Linked DNA regions of Notamacropus eugenii. The protein of the gene in region 1 binds, or shares a complex with, the protein of each later gene. Links are inferred from orthologs where the notes say so. Each region holds a gene or a part of one and is shown in the gene's direction. Other genes may lie near its edges.

Region 1 (8,298 bases):
TTACATCCCTTTGTAGGGATGTAAACATATATATATACACACACACACACACACACACACACACATCTATATAGAAGATGATACTTTTAACTCTTAAGAACTGTGTCTTTATTAGGACAGTAAGAAGGAAGTATACATAGACAGAGGGTGTGGGTATAAGATGACTTTGATGAAATGATATAAAAAATATTAAAAGGTGAGAAAGAGAATTGCATTGGGAGAAGAAGGAAGAGGCAGAATGGGGTAAATTACATCACACAAAGAGGCACAAAAAACCTATTACAGTGGAAGGAAAGAAGAGAGGTGGGGTAAAACACTGCTTGAATTTTACTCTCATTGGATCTAGCTCAAAGAGGGAGTAGCATACACACTGAGTTGTGTATAGAAATCTATCTTACCCTACAGGGAAGTAGGAGGGGAGTAGGACAAGAAAAGGAGATAGAGCTAATAGAAGGGAGGGCAGATTGAAGGAAGAGGTTGTTAGAAGCAAAACACTGGTGTGGAAGGACAGAATGAAAATGGAGACAGAAAAGTATAAACAAGGAAAAAACAGGATGGAGGGAAATACACAGTTAGTAATCATAACTGTGAATGTGAATAGGATGAAGTCACCCATAAAATGGAAGCAGATAGAGTGGATTAAAACCTAGAATCCTACAATATGTTGTTTACAAAAAACACATTTGAACCAGAGACACACACAGAAAGTAAAAGTAAAAGACTGACTGAAGCAGAATATATTCTGCTTCAGCTAAAGTAAAAAGAAAGCAGGGGTAGCAATCATGATCTCAGACAAAGCAAAAGCAAAAATAGATCTAATCTTGTTAAATGAAGCAATATCAATACTTAACATATATGCACCAAATGGTATAGCATCCAAATTTCTAAAGAAGATGTTAAATGAGTCATGGGAAGAAACAGAAAGCAAAATGATACTAGGGTGAGACTTCAACCTCCCCCTTTCAAAACTAGATAAATCTAACCACAAAATAAGAAGTTAAGGAGATGAATAGAATTTTAGAAAAGTTAGATATGATAGACCTCTGGAGAAAATTGGGGATAGAAAGGAACATGCTTTTTTCTTAGCATTACATGGCACCTATACAAATTTGACCATAGGGCATAATTACCCTGCAAACAAATGCAGAAAGACAGAAATATTAAATTCATCCTTTCCAAATTACGATGTAATAAAAATTACATTTAATAAAGGGCCATAGGAAGATAGGCTAAAAACTAATTGGAAACTAAATAATCTAATCCTAAAGAATGAGTGGGTCAAACAACAAATTAAAGAAACAATCTAATTTCATCAAAGAGAATGACAATGAGACAACACACCGTAGTTTATGAGATGCAACCAAAGCAGTACTTAAGGGAAATTTTATATCTCTAAATGTTTATATCAATAAAGCAGAGAAAGGGCGGATCAATGAACTGGGCATGCAACTAAAAAAAGCTTTAAAAAGAACAAATTTAAAATGCCCAATCAAATATCAAGTTGGAAATCCTGAAAAATCAAGAGATAGGTTAATAAAACTGAAAGAAAACCACTGAACTAATAAATAAAACTGAGCTGTTTTTGTGGGGAGGAAAACCCAATAAAATAGATAAACCACTGGTTAATATGATTTAAAAAAAAGAAATAAGAAAACCAAATTACCAGTATCAAAAATGAAAAGGATAAATTCACCACCAATGAAGAGGAAATTAAAGCAATAATTAAAAGCGATTTTGCCCAATTATATGCCAATAAATCTGATGGACTAAGTGAAATTGATGAATATTTACAAAAACATAAGCTGACTAGATTAACAGAAGAGGAAACAGAATACTTAAATAACCCCATTTAAGAAAAAGAAATTGAACAAGCCAACAATGAGCTCTCCAAGAAAAAAATCCCCAGGGCCAGACGGATACAAGTGAATTCTACCAAACATTTAAAGAACAATTCCAAAACTATAGAAACTATTCGGGGAAATAGGCAAAGAAGGAGTCCTACCAAATTCTTTTTATGGCACAAATATTCTGCTGACACCTAAACCAGGAAGAGCCACAACAGAGAAAGAAAACTATCGACCAATTTCTCTAATGAATGTTGACGTGATTACAGCTATCTATCACCAGGATCATACACTATAACCAGGTGGGATTAATAACAGGGATTCAGGGATGGTTCAATATTAGTTAAACTATCAGTGTATCTTAAGCTTACCTGTCCGTGTACATGTTGTTTCCCTCAATAGAATGTATGCTCTTTAAGGACAGGGACAATGTCATTTTTTTTCCATCCCTAAAATACCAGCACACAACCTGGCACATAGAAGCCTTTTACGAAATATTTATTAAATTGAATTAAGGAGAAGTCAAAGCATTTTGTAAACTTTAAGGCACAGGATTATTACTATTATTATAATACTTCTCTTGCCAGCGAAAGGTCATACACCCTGTACTATGGAAAGAACAATAACCCTAGGTTTTCACAAATAGCAAGTCTGTTTTCACATATTTATAAACTGGAAGAGACCTTAAGAGATCATCTAATTCAACCCCCTCATTGTATAAATAAATACACTCCTTAACTTGCCCACAAGTAGTAAGTTACAGTGCTGAGTAGCTTGAATCCGAGTCCAGTGCTCTCTTTGCTACAGTAAGTTGTCTTTAACTCTCCATAGCTTTTGTCAATTAATACCAAGGCCGTCCTTCCCCACATCAAGTCTAAGGTAGCATGGCATCGTCAAATAATCACTGAGTTGGAAAACAGGAAAATTAGGAAAACTAAACCTCTCACTCTATTTAAACAATTGCCCATATGTCATTTCATTTCCTTGTCTTAGTGACATCACTTGTAAAATAGAGATTAACAATATCTTTCCTATTTCATTTGAAGATCAAATGAGGTTGTACAATGAAAGCACTTTAAAAATATTAAGTGTGATTCAAGCAAGGCATTACTATTATTATTTCCTCTACTCCTTATGTATTTTCACAGTGGGGCCCTTTCTCACAGGAGTATATAGAGCCTACAGTTTTCAACCCCCGGTTAGCCTTCTCAGTATTGAGGTATCCCCGCACCATCATTCCCTTCTCAGGTCTCTCACTTCCCCTGTGTGGAGCCTACAGTGTCCACTTCCTCCATACCCAGATCCAGCCAACCTCCTCCTCTATCAGTCTTTTCTTCAGGGCCAGGAGGGGTTAATGCCTATTTGACCAGGGCCAAAGAATGAAGTGGCCCCATGGGCACTATGCCTTGGTTCTTCTGAGAAAGGCAGTGCTTCCCCTGAAAGAGGGGAGGCAAAGTTAAGCAAAGGATGCCACAGCATGCACAGCCCTGATTTTGTAAGAGGAACACAAAGTCCAGTCCAGAAGGGTGGAATTACAGCTCCAAGGGCCCAGACTGGCATCTAGGCAAACCCTATCATTTTATACATGAAGACTAAAGGAATGGACCCTCCAAGGCTGCACAGAAGCAGTTCCTCTTGTTTCTTCCATTGCACCATTTCGAGGCCTTTTAGGGTCTGTGAACTTAAAAAATAATAACTATTTTGATAGAACTGTAACCCTATGTATTTTATTTTACGTCTTTAAGACATTAATCTGAGAAGAGGTCCAGAGGCTTCACCACACAGCCAATGGGGACCATGACACAAAGTAGTTCCAGAACTTTTGAATCAGACAAAATAACAAAAATTCCATTTGGAGGAATGAACTGTCTAGAAGAGTTCTTCACCTGAGGCCTGTGGACGTAAATAAAAAAGCTGATAAGTGAATTTCAACAGAATTGGTTTTCTTTGCATTTTATACTTAAGTTGATGCCTTTTTTTGCTAAGAACGACTTTTAGAAGGACATTTCTGCCCATTTTATGACCCGGTCTAAGCACCCTGAGCGGGCTCCAGCCGGCACAGAAGCAGGCGGATTTCCCCTCCTCCTCAGCGGCGCCTCCGCTGTCATGGGGTCCCAAATGAACGGGGCCCCCCATTCCGGCGAGGGCGGTCCGACCATCCAGGGAGGGGCAGCTCTTCCGCCAGCCCACAGGCTCCCGGAGACGCATGGGAGGGGGCGCCTCCACTTTAAAGCGCTTTGATCCGCCGGCTCCGAGGACCTCCAAGCTGGAAGGGCGGGCGTTCCAGGGATCTCCAGATGCGACGAACGCGCGCTCCTGGGGAAGCCGGCCGGCGGCGAGCGCACGCAGAGCACCGCCCACCCCCACCTTTTCACCTGCGCGCTGCAGGGGACAACCTCATTGCGCGGGGAGTTCCTTCAAGGGCGCTTGCGAAGGTCAAGGGTCTTTCCTCTAGCAACACAGGACACGATTATGGATTTCGCAAGACTCGAGAACCGCAGCTTCCTGGCGGCCGCTCCCCAACACGCAGTCATTTCCCCGGTTAGTGCAATACTACTAGGACTTCCACGCCACGTGCAAAATCTCCTCTATAACTAGGGGAGGGGAAAAGGAAGGCAGGACTGGCCAGGTGCGCGCCAGCTCCCGCCCGCGGATCCCGAGTATTCCCCGCCTCTCTCTCCCAGTCTCTCAGTTTCTCTCTCCTTCCCCCCGCCCCCGCAGCAGTACACCCTACAGTGCGCACGCGCGCCTAGGCGCCGCCTGTCATTGGTTGCGGCGGAGGCGCCGTTTGCTCTCTGACCCTCCTTGGCCGCCTTCTCCTCTCCTGTCCCGCCCTCTAGGGACTCGTAGTGCGCATGCGCCTTTGCGACCGGAGCGGGCTGGTAGGCGCGGGTTGAAAGTCTCGTTCCAAGTTTGGAAAGAGAGAGGGAAGAGGTCGGGGTCCGAGCAGCCACGGCTGCGGGGGAAGCAGCGCTGCACGGCCTGACTCCGGAGGACGGGGGGAAGGGGGGGAGGGGGTTAGAAAGCAAGTGGCGGAGGCGTCCGGGGCTCCGGGTTGTGGGCGCTGGGTGACGCGGCGGAGACTGTCTGCGCCCCGGCGGGCTAGCGTCGCGCGGCCAGAGCGGGGGAGATCGAGACGGCGCCCGAGGGGCCTGGCGGCCGGCGGGGCGCACTGCCCGACACAAGATGGCGAATAAAGAGAGTAAGAGGGGAACGGGGGGTTACGGGGAAGAGGTTGCTCCTGGAGGGGTTCGCGCTCCGTGCGTGCGCGGGTCGTGGAAGGAAGCCAGGGCGGGGGGGGGCGCCCGGGGTGTCAGCCCCAGAAAGGCGCGAACAAGGCTCTGGGCGGCGGGGACAGCTTGGGGGAGGCGAGGGCGGGGACGCGGCCCGGAGGTCCCTGGGCACTTCCGGGGGGCTGGGAAACAGGCGAGACAAGTGCTTTTTCTTTCTCCGTGCCCTTGGTCCTGCGGCAGTTTCAGCACCATCCTTGAGACCAGGGTGCCCGGGCTCCCGGCTACCCCAGGTTTCGGGTGCGGCCGCGAGGCCCAACCAAACTGCCCTAGTTTTCGTTTTGTTCTTCGCAGGTTGGCAAAGGGGGAGAGGCATAGCTTTAAAAATTAAATTTGATTTTTAAAAATGATGAATACGGTTTTTTCCCCTCTCTCCCGCTACTTTCCATTGGAAAAAAAACGATTGTAACAAATACGTATGGTCAAAGGGCACGTCTGTTGAGTTGGTGTAGTGCGTGGAGGGCTGGAGATGTCATTTCTATTTTGGAGGAGCCATCCACCGAAATCTGGATTCCTATTTTCCTGTCAGATTGCCGCCTTCCCCTCCACAGACTCTGCTGTGTAATTGAAAGGGCATCTTGCAGTACTAGGTTCTGGAGACTCATGGTGGAATGGCAGATGTCAGCTGTGCCTAAACTTGAATTCCCAAGAAATAATTACTTACATAATGGCCAAACTGTATTTGCAAAATATTGGCTTGTTTTTTGCAGTAAATAAATGACTAGATATTAAGGCTGCCAGGAAAGTCTTTGTGGTTATACTCTTTAATAGTTGTGCAGAACCGGAAGGGCCAAAATATGACAGATGTGGTAGGTTTTAAAAAGTTCAAAACATTTGTCTAATAGAATCATATTAGCCCTGACTAAAGATATCCTTCACTACGTATTTGTTAAGTATCTCCCTTACATTGTGCTGAGTGCCAGGGATAACAGTGGCAGCAAACAAGGTTTCTGCCCTCAAGGAGCTCATATTCTAACCATATATGCCTATTCTCAAAACTTGAGCTTCTTTGAAGTTCCTAGACTAGTTAAGCATATTAATTAGTGTTCTCTTACTTTCAGTGTTTGAAGATACGGTGGAGGAGCGGGTTATCAATGAAGAATATAAAATCTGGAAAAAGAATACCCCATTTTTATATGACTTGGTTATGACACATGCCCTCGAATGGCCCAGCCTTACTGTTCAGTGGCTTCCTGATGTAACTAGGTAACTAAAATTTAAACAATTCAGTAATATTACTTTTACAAACAGTAAAATTACTTTCACAGAACAGATATTGGGATGAGGGGAAGGGGGAGACTTGGGGGATTGTAAATTTCTACTTCCAAATATTTGCATATATTTTGTTTTTAAAATAGGGGTTAAGACGTTTAACCATAATTTTAGAATCAATTAGAATTATTGCTGGAATGTATGGTTTCTTTGTATCATAAAGGACAAACTCTAAGGTTGGATATAGCTAAAGTAAGTCAAATGTGAGGTATTGGGTATTATTTCAAGATGAATATAATTTTATGAACGAAATAGAGACTGTAAATAAGGATGCCTTTGCAGGAAATATTGCTTAAGCAATATCTCAAAACTACAGGTGAGTACTTTTTGCTATAGGGAGAAAAGGACAAAGGTTTGGGGTAGAAGTAAGGAAGAGAGGTTGCTACAGAGTAACTTTTGGAAATAATTTAGTGCTGAGTATTTTAAAATATAATTTTTAGTTTCCTCTTAAGTGTATATGATTTTTTTCAGCAAATTGTAGTGTAAACTGAAATAATGTAAGAAAAAAATTATGTTTTAGGTATGCAGCCAAAATAATTAAAATTAGACTAAGGGGACTAATGTATTATTTAATCCGATTAATTTTTACTTTGTTTAATTTTTTTGTTGATTAAGATGTGAACATAATATAAAGCTCATTTTCTTTATAGGTTGTGGTGCTTTCTTATACCCTACCCACACATGTTGGCTTTAGAAAATGTGGAATACTCTTGTGCTTGTATGTGTTGTACAAATACATGAGCAAAGTTAAGTTGATTCAGAGGAAAGAACTAAGTAACATGGTATTTTAACATTGGATTATAATGAGTAGATTATTGATTTCAGATTCTGGGTTGGTTCATTCTACATATGAAAATTCGGATCTTCTTAATTGTCTTTCAGTTAAATGCTAGTAGTTTATGACATTCTTTATCAAATAACCTGCTATTTCCCCTCTTGAGTTTGTTTTCCTCATTTCTTGTTTAAGAATTGTGGAAGAAATAGCATGAAAGTGCCCCTGGTTTCTTCGTTTTCCATATTTAAATAGTGAACACCTACAGGGAGTTTAGGCAGTATGTTTGGATGAAAGACATCTAAATGTAGTCAAACCTCACATATCCATTCCCTAAGAAAATAACGTGAGTAATAATAGACAACATTTATATAACATATACTATGTGCCAGGTACTGTGCGCAACAGTTTACAATTATACAAATTTATAATTTTATTTATAATTGTATAATTTACAATTATACAAATTTAACTATATATTCTCTCATTAGATCCTCACTACAACTCTGAAAGGTAAGTGCTATTATTATCCCCATTTTAAATTTGAGGAAACTGAGGCAAACATATGTTAAATGATTTTTCCCAGGGTCACAAAGCTATTAAGTGAGGCCAGATTTGGATTCAGGTCTTCCTGACTCTAGGCCCAGAGCTCTATCCTCTTCACCACCTAGTAGATAAATGAGTTGCTATATTAGCATTTTGGAACCTACTAGAAAATTGTTTTGCTAGTGCTGTTCCTTGTTTTCCCCTACAGACAAATTGACAAGCCAGCAAAAATCTGCTTGCTGGTAGCAAAGAGAATGTTGAGGTTATTGCTGATCAGGTCTCTCTATACTTTTCAGATAATAAAGGAAATGACTGGATGGATTGGGAGATAACATTATGGGAACTATTTATTTCCCACTGCCGCCCCCCCCCCCCCCATTCTTCCCATATTGCTGCATAATACTAGAGATTAATAATATCACACCTTTTTTCCTAGCCCAAAGGCCTCTAGTTAATTTGTAAGTAATGTTAGAAACCGTAGCTTTCTAAAAATACCCCCACTAGTTTCTAGGCATGGTTAAATAAATAACTGAGAAATGTTCTTTTTCAGTTTTGCAAGGTTCAGTTCCTAGTA
Region 2 (8,041 bases), on another chromosome or scaffold:
GGGTTAGAAGGGAATATGAGTACCAAAACATCTAAAAGATTGCAACTATCCCTAAATAATCTTGCTAGAAAAGGAAACTAAAACAACGCCTGATTAAACACAAAATTCTGTGGATTACCAGGAGCATGGATGTTGGTTCCTTAATGGCAAGAGAGAAATCAGAATCTTGAGAGAAGTTAGGCAGGAACAAATGGCAAAATGTATGGCTTACACAGCAGAAATAATTAGCAGAAGAGAAAAACTTGAGTTCATGGGAGTGAGTCTGTCCAAAGAAGTGAAAAAGACAATAGATTAGGAATATAAATATATTGAAGTGAAGGATTATCTGGAAGAAGAAAAAAGCAAAAATGTTAAAATAATGCAAGCTATCTATATGAGCAAAACATATTATTCTCAAAGACAGGATCCAGAGACAACGTAAGGATCATAAGCCAACAAATAACATGACAAATCAAAAAGCCTGAACACCATAATGCTAAGAATAATATAAGAAAATTTCCTAGAACTTTTGAATATGAATAACAAAGAGCTAATTGAAAGAATTCATAGATGAACTCCATGAAAACAAAATAACTTATGTTTCACACTCCAAAACACACAGTGGTTAAATTTAGCAATTTTGGTGACAAAGAAGTAATCAGAATAAAAACCTTAAGATGTAAAGGAAAGGAGATTAGAATAACATAAGAATATTTTCACCCACCAAAAATCATAGAAGAGAATGGAAGAAAAGGCAAAGGAGCTCAATATGCAACCCAAAAGGATGTACCCTAAAAATCTAAGCCTAATATCAATGAAAAAACATAGATATTCAATAAAAGAAGCATTTGAAATATTTCTGCAAAGAAAAAACCACACATGTATAACAGACAGGGACTGTCTTTTGCCCCTTCTTAGATTCCCCAGGCACTTAATAAAGTAGGCACTTAATAAATACTGATTGATTGACATGAGATCTGAATAAGGGTCTTTCAAATATGATAGAATCATCCGACCTGTCTCAATGGGCAGGTAGGTGGTTTAGTGGATTGAGAGATGGGCCTGGATTCAGGAAGACTCATCTTCCTGAGTTCAAATCAGTGCTTAGACACTAGTTCTGTGACCCTGCCACACAGGGAAGTCATTTAACCCTGTTTATCTCAGTTTCTTCATCTGTAAAATGAGCTGGAGAAGGAAATCTTTGCCAAGAAAACCCCAAACGGGGTCACAAAGAGTCTCATACAACTGAAAATGTGTCTTAAAGGCCTTTGAACTTCTCCTTTGTATATGAAAAAGTTAGGAAGCATCTGAACAACCAGCAAACAAAATGAACTTGCTGCCAGGGCAGAAATTATCTAACTCAGTACCTTTTCCTCAGCCATTCATTCCAAGGACTAATAGGAGGAAACTAGAGATAAAAACAAAATAAAACAACCCCCCCCCCAAACTGGGACACCCCAAACCTCAGACCTTTTGGTGATTATTTGCTACGTGGTTATAGGCTGATAATGACCTAACCTGCAGAAATGGAATTTTGGGAAAAATACTAGTTGGCCAGGGTAGTTGAGTGGTGAAGTGGATGGAGTGCTGGATGTGGAGATAGGAAGACTCATCTTTCTAAGTTCAAATGTGACCTCACACACTTACTAGTTATGTGGTTCTAGGCAAGTCGCTTAACCCTATTTGCTTCAGTTCCTCATCTGTAAAATGGGGACATACCAGAGAAGGAAATGAAAAACCACTCCAGTATCTTTGCTAAGGAATTTCTGTGGACATGGGGTCATGCAGAGTCAAACATGATTGAACAAACAACTGATTGGTCACTGTAAATTAGGATGAGGTCCCTCAGTGAAAGATCCCAGCCCTGAACTGGGAAAAGTGGCTAAAAGGAAAAGCTATACCCAGCATTGTACTGGTAAAAATGTTTAACAACTAGCTCTTGGCAAGGGGCGTGGGGTGGGTGAGGGTGGATGCTCCATACATAAGTTTAATCTCCATTAATAATGGTTTTATTCCTATCACTTTCTCAAGTTTAGATAATCAAAAAATCATGTGCTGATTTTTGAGGTATAAATGCTCCTATTGAAAATGTGATAATCAGCTTAGTATGAGCTGGCTATCACTTACCGCTGGCCATAACTCTTCTACCTTCTGCCTGAGAGGTGAAAACCTCAGAGCCAATGTCCTGAAGGAACAGAATTGGAGTTTCTGCTAATCTAAGGGTAAAGGCCTCTGTCTTTTCTGAAAGAGTATAGTGTACATTCCAGACAAGTATAAGGCTGGACATGGTGAAGACACAGCTGCCTATCAAGGAGTGATATCAGGGACTGGTGAGAAGCTCATAATCTGGATTTGGGGGAGTTACAGGTCCATTCAGATTTTTAACCAAACAATTTTTCCACATACTCATTAGCAGCTACAGGAGGGGTTAGTTTACTCTTCAAAACCCATAGACTTTCATTTTTAGTTTTTTAGACAATTTTCTCTGTGACAAGCAAGACCAAATCAGTCACTCATCCATCAGAGATGATACGCTCTGAGGGAAGCCAGTTTATACTAGCATCAGAGAATCCCAGCCTTCATGAATATCTCACCCACAATGAGCTTTGTGAGGACTTGATAGAGAAATGACATTAAGTCCCTGCAGTTCCACAGTTATAAGTTGCCTTAGCTGTGAGAATTCCCTATTTGAATACCTCATTAGTATTCTTTAAATATGTGCCTATCACTTGAGACTGTGTATTTGTTGGAGAAAGTGTTCCAGGTTTTTTTTCTGAAAGAATATTTTGTATCAACTGTTTTTGCTGCGGCTGATAAGAGAAAACACACTGGTCAGGCTTCATGAGCAACAATAGTAGGAGTAGCCACTCGTTGGGTTATACAAATAAAAAACCCCAAAAGCCAGAGGTAACAGTCACCACTTTGGTGATCCCAGCCGCAGACTTGAGGGCCCAGAGGAGGTATAACATATACGATCTCCTCCATTAATATACAAGCTCCTTGAAAGTAGGGATTATTTCCATTTTTGAAACAATCCCCAGCACCTAGCACAGTGACAGCAACATGGCAAGTGTGAGTCAGTTGATTTATTATCAGTAGTAATGATGGTGGTTCCAGCATGTCGAAGGTGACATGCAGGTAAGTTTTGAGTGGCATGATCAGGGCCTTAAGGGTTAAACAACATTAATTGTGAAAGCGGTAAAGTTTGAGCTTTAAAAATCAGCGCCTTTTTGCTTCTGTGTACCTTTCCTGTATCCCATTGTTGCTTCCTCAGCTGAATGTTAGCTAATCCTTAGCAGATAATTCAGATGTTAGCTTAGAAAATTGAACATCGGAATGCCACCAGGGGCACTTGCAATTTAAAAGGTAGTCAGAAGTGTACGGAGGCCAGGACTCTGGGAGAAACCTATAGGGAAGTTCGATCTTTTCCCTCCTCCCAATCATCCTTTGCTCTACTGTTCATAGAGGTTAGGGTGTTTCCTCAGTATCGTTCACTGGCCCAACTCACAGAATAGTGTAGGTATGTGTATGTGGGTAGCTTGCATATCCTTGCCACAGATCCACGAGGGTGCGAGGTGTACATAGAGGAAGATTTGTCCCACTACTTTAGAAAGGGTCCAGTCCTCCTTATGAACCTCAGCGGCCTACCAATGACTTGTAGTGGCATAGAACACCATTGTATTGTAATTAAGATACAATGCTACATTAAATCCTAAATATACCCAATTAAAAATGAAATTAACAGGTGGTCGTCTTTAAAAATGAAAGCCTCAAACGTTGGGAGTAAACAGCCGGGCAAGGGTGGCACTGGGAAGTTTGTCTGAAGTTTAGGAGCACTTCACTTCTGCGTGTCTAGGTGCATGGGGAAGTGGAAGAGGATCAATGCGGGTTATTGCCACCGCGCGTGCCGGCTGCGTGGGGAGGCACTTTCGGACCGAAGCTGTCAAACCCCAGAGCCGGGGCGGCGGGGCTGGTGCCTCTCCAGTACAGTCCTCACTTCTGGAGTCGCCTTTAATGCTACTCTGGAAGAGCAGGGGCGGGGTTCCTGAACCCTCAGAGGTGTCGTGGTTAGGGTTCGGAGGCAGGATTTTCCAGGACCCAGCGCTCCCCGAGTGCTCGCGAGTCCTCTCTGCCGCCCGCAGGCACTCCCTCCCAGGGTCTCTGTCTCTGGTGCTGCCCAGTGCCCGGCCTCAGTGTCTCGCTCCGGCTGAAATGCTTGCTCCTCCCCCCCTTCCTACTTCCTCCCCCGGTCCCCATGCAGCACTGCTCAGCATCGCGCCTGCAAATCTAGTTTGGCTCCAGTTTTGTTGGGAGGGGTCTCTCCACCACTTTAATTTGGGGGTTTTCCCTTTTCTCGGGTTTTTCAGCTACTGGGGGGGGGGGAGGAATGGGTGGAGAGGTAAGGACTGTAATAGTCCCGATAGTCTCTCCCTGGCTGGGTCTTCGTCACCAAGAGGGGTAGGGCTCATTTAAAATACCTAGTTCACCCCTCGCCGCCCCCCGTTCCGGTCCTTCAGGGCCCCCAGCGCCCCGGGCCCCAAGCTTCCCGGGCTCCCCCCTCTGCGCGCCCCCGCCAGCTGGCCGGGCCGGGCTGCAGGCTCCCGCGCTCCCCCTAGAGGAGGCTGCGTTGCGTCGGCCTCGGCCTCGTCGGCGGGGGCGTTCACGTGACCGCGCTCCAGGCCTGCTGCCGCTGTCGGTTCCCCCAGTCACCGAGCGAGAGGGAAGAAACAAGATGGCGGCTGGAGGCGATCGGGAGCGGGGCGCCGGCAATTCGGATTGAGCCTTCTCCCTCCACCCGCTTCCGCCGGCCGGGCCCCCCCCGCCCCGACCCCGCGGGGCTCCCCACCCCGCCCCCAGCGGCTCCCCACCGCCGCCTCTCGGCCGGTCCCCCTCCCCCCCTCGGCTTTCCCTTCTCCCTCCCTCCCTCCTCGGCTCCGACATGAGGGGCAGGCGGGGCAGGCCGCCCAAGCAGCCCGCGGCAGGCGCTGCGGAGCGCGGCGCCCCGGCTCCCCCGCCGCCGCCGCCGCCGCCGCCGCCGCCACCGCCGCCTCCGGCCGGGCCCATCGGGGGGCTCCGCTCCCGGCACCGAGGCAGCAGCCGGGGCAGGTGGGCCGCCGCCCAGGCAGAGGTGGCGCCCAAGGCGCGGCTGAGCTCCCCCAGGGGGGGCGGCGGTAGCCGGAGGAAGCCTCCGCCACCGCCGCCGCCGCCGCCGCCGCCGCCGCCGGCCGCCCCCCCCAGCAGCAGCCCCAGCGCCGGCGCCCCGGGCCGGGGGGGGAGAGGAGGCGGGGGAGGCAGAGCTGGAGGCGGGGGCGGCGGCGGCGGCGGCGGCGGCGGCAGCGGAGGCCACCTGGCCCGGGCCACCCCGTCCAGGAGGAGCATCAGCAAAGTGGTGTACGATGACCACGAGAGCGAGGAGGAGGACGAGGACGAGGACATGGTCTCCGAGGAAGAGGAGGAGGAGGAGGGGGACCCCGAGGAGACGCAGGACTCCGAGGAGGACGAGGAGGAGGAAGATATTATGGAGGAGGACGACGACGACGACGACTCCGATTATCCCGAGGAAATGGAAGACGACGACGATGCCAGCTATTGCACCGAGAGCAGCTTCAGGAGCCACAGCACCTACAGCAGCACCCCAGGTACCCACCCAGCCCGGCCGCCTCGGGGCTAGCCTTCCACCCTCCACCTTCTCCCCCTGCTCCATCCACCCCTCACCCCTCCACCCCGAAGACACACACACACACACACACTCACCGTGTCCGTCCTGCACGGTGCATCCTGCTGTAGCGGCACCCCCCATCTCACCCCCAAAGAGAGGGGAAATGCAATCGCACATCAAGTGGCAAAAAACTAGATTTACCAGAGGAAAGAGGTGCATTGTTCAAAATGGAGATTGCATTGTTGCAGTTGGCAGGCCACACTCTCTCTCTCCCTCTCCCCCACTTTCCCCCCACCCCCAAAACTGGAGCTAGTGCAGCCTTTCCTCCAGGCAGGATTGAGACGGCCATGCACGTAGCCATCGCCTTCCTTTTTTTTTTTTAAGGTGAAGAATCCTCTTGTGTAGCGAGCCACTTTGCATGGCTTAATGTGAATTCTCTTTAGTGGCTGAGTCTCCTCTCTTAGCAGGGATCCTACGGAGGGAGTTGTTTAGGGTGTAAACATGTACATAATGTTGCTTCTACTCGTGCTTCTTTTCTTTTCACATTTCTTGCTTTGTGTGGTTTTGCAATTGTCTCAAGGAATTAGCTCCACCACTTGTGTTGTTGGGGGAAACCTTAATTAGCCATACGTGTGTTTGTTTTCATTCTTTGTGTGTTCACGGGCACATGCAACAGTTGCCCTTAGGTGGCTGCTTTAAAAAAAAATCCGACTAAAAGAGTACATTTGGTTAAAATTCAGTTTTGTAAAATCCCAGATGACAATATTTGTCTCCCTCAGTCTCATGTAAGCAGTTTCCTTCTTAGAAGCACCCCCATGTTCCTTGGGGAGTAGAGTTTCATGTCACCTGTTGCAGAAGATGGAGTTGATCGTTGAAAGTAAATTTTGAAGATCAACTTTTGGATCAATTTCAAAAAAGAACTGGAGGATTTATTACAGTGTAGATTTTTTTCACCTTAGATGATTGAGTTTGAAAGTTCAGCCTTGGTGGGTAAGAGGCTCCTCCATGGTAACTCATACTCTCCTGTTTTCTCAAGGAAGTTTCTTCAGACCGGTACTGAAATGCATTTGGTTAAAAATCACGATTGAAGCTTTGTGCTAAACAAGATAGATGCAGTTTACTCAGTTGTGGAAAAATGTATTTAAGGCTTTTAATGGCAGCCTGTCCTGTTTTTCTTCAGTAATTTTGGCGATTGGGATCAATTAGCATCTTTTTTAAAGACTCCTTTCCACCCCCCAAGTGAATTTTCATAAGAACATATTTCTAATTTACAAGAATATGATGCCTTTTATTTTTTATCAGTATTTATAGATAAAATGTTCAAGTAGTATGAAATACTTAAATTTTTATTTTTCAACTTGTATTGAATTCATCTAACTAATCCATTTCTATTCTTTTGCCTCTAAAGAAACTCATTGATTGGGTTAAAGATGCCATTTCGTGTCTGAAAGCAAGAAAATGTTCATTTTTTTCTTTTTGTTCTTTTACTGAAATGAAAAAGTAACATTAAGCATTTATCTCTTGAAGATATTAGTGATGTGTGCAAATTTCAATTTTGTCAGTTGGTATGCCACTAAGAGCATTCACCTTAAGAAATCACAGCTCTTGTACTTTCTCTCCTTCTCCCCCCTTTCTCCCCTTTCTCTCTCTCTTTCTCCTTTCCCCCCCTCTCCCCCTTCTCCCTCTCCCTCTTCTTCCTTCCCCCCTCTTTTTCTCTCTCCTCCCCCCCCTTCCCTCTCCCTTCTTCTCTTCCTCTTCTCTCTTGAGTCTTTTTCTGTTAAGGATCACACAACTGAATGAGCCAGACTGAAAGGTTCCAGTCCTCCTTGCAGACTGAATAACACTCCTTTGGAGAAAGTTTTTTAAAGTTAGAGTTGAGACATTTTGGCAAGGCAGTTTTAGCTTGCTTGAACTCCTGTTTTTGAAGGCTAAGTAAAGAGGAGTTATATCTACTCCCTTTAATTAATTTAAAATGTCATCATCCACTTTAACTTTGTCTTAAACTGGTGGGTTTATTATGTGCCTTTTCATATGGTAGTAGTTAAAAAGTCTGTACTTGGTACAGACTGGTAGTTCAGTCTGTTTAATAGAAAAGTTTTTATCATTTTACAGTGGGTACCATAACTCTGTAAGGTATATGTTTTGAATTTGAAAACTTGTTTACAAATACTAATATTTTAGTTTTTAATATAAAGTTTGAGGAGTAGATGGTTTGAAATAGCACAATTGCTATATTACTTCCTAAAGGTTTTTTTCTTACTTTTTGGGACATGGTATCTGGTTTTTAAGGCTTGGAATTTCAGGAAGATTATTTCTAAGTAATGTTTTAAAATGATGTATTTTGTGTTTTGAGCTTTTAAAATGATTTCACTTACAAAGGAGGAGTAATTGCATGTCAATTTT

Evidence for each region. Proteins that work in one complex are often made in the same cells at the same time.
Region 2: RBBP7 (region 1) and BPTF share a complex: the UniProt entries of both Homo sapiens proteins name them as parts of the BPFT-SMARCA1 complex. The link is inferred for Notamacropus eugenii from reciprocal best matches to the Homo sapiens genes RBBP7 and BPTF.

The regions. Positions count from the first base shown.
Region 1 is NC_092876.1:372,854,459-372,862,756, forward strand, and holds the start of RBBP7 (histone-binding protein RBBP7), read left to right. Parts: upstream 1-4,694; 5' UTR 4,695-5,030; coding exon 5,031-5,046; intron 5,047-6,195; coding exon 6,196-6,340; intron 6,341-8,298. UniProt on the Homo sapiens protein: Core histone-binding subunit that may target chromatin remodeling factors, histone acetyltransferases and histone deacetylases to their histone substrates in a manner that is regulated by nucleosomal DNA.
Region 2 is NC_092873.1:328,043,988-328,052,028, reverse strand, and holds the start of BPTF (nucleosome-remodeling factor subunit BPTF), read left to right. Parts: upstream 1-4,778; 5' UTR 4,779-4,918; coding exon 4,919-5,618; intron 5,619-5,733; exon of another isoform or gene 5,734-6,000; intron 6,001-8,041. UniProt on the Homo sapiens protein: Regulatory subunit of the ATP-dependent NURF-1 and NURF-5 ISWI chromatin remodeling complexes, which form ordered nucleosome arrays on chromatin and facilitate access to DNA during DNA-templated processes such as DNA replication, transcription, and repair.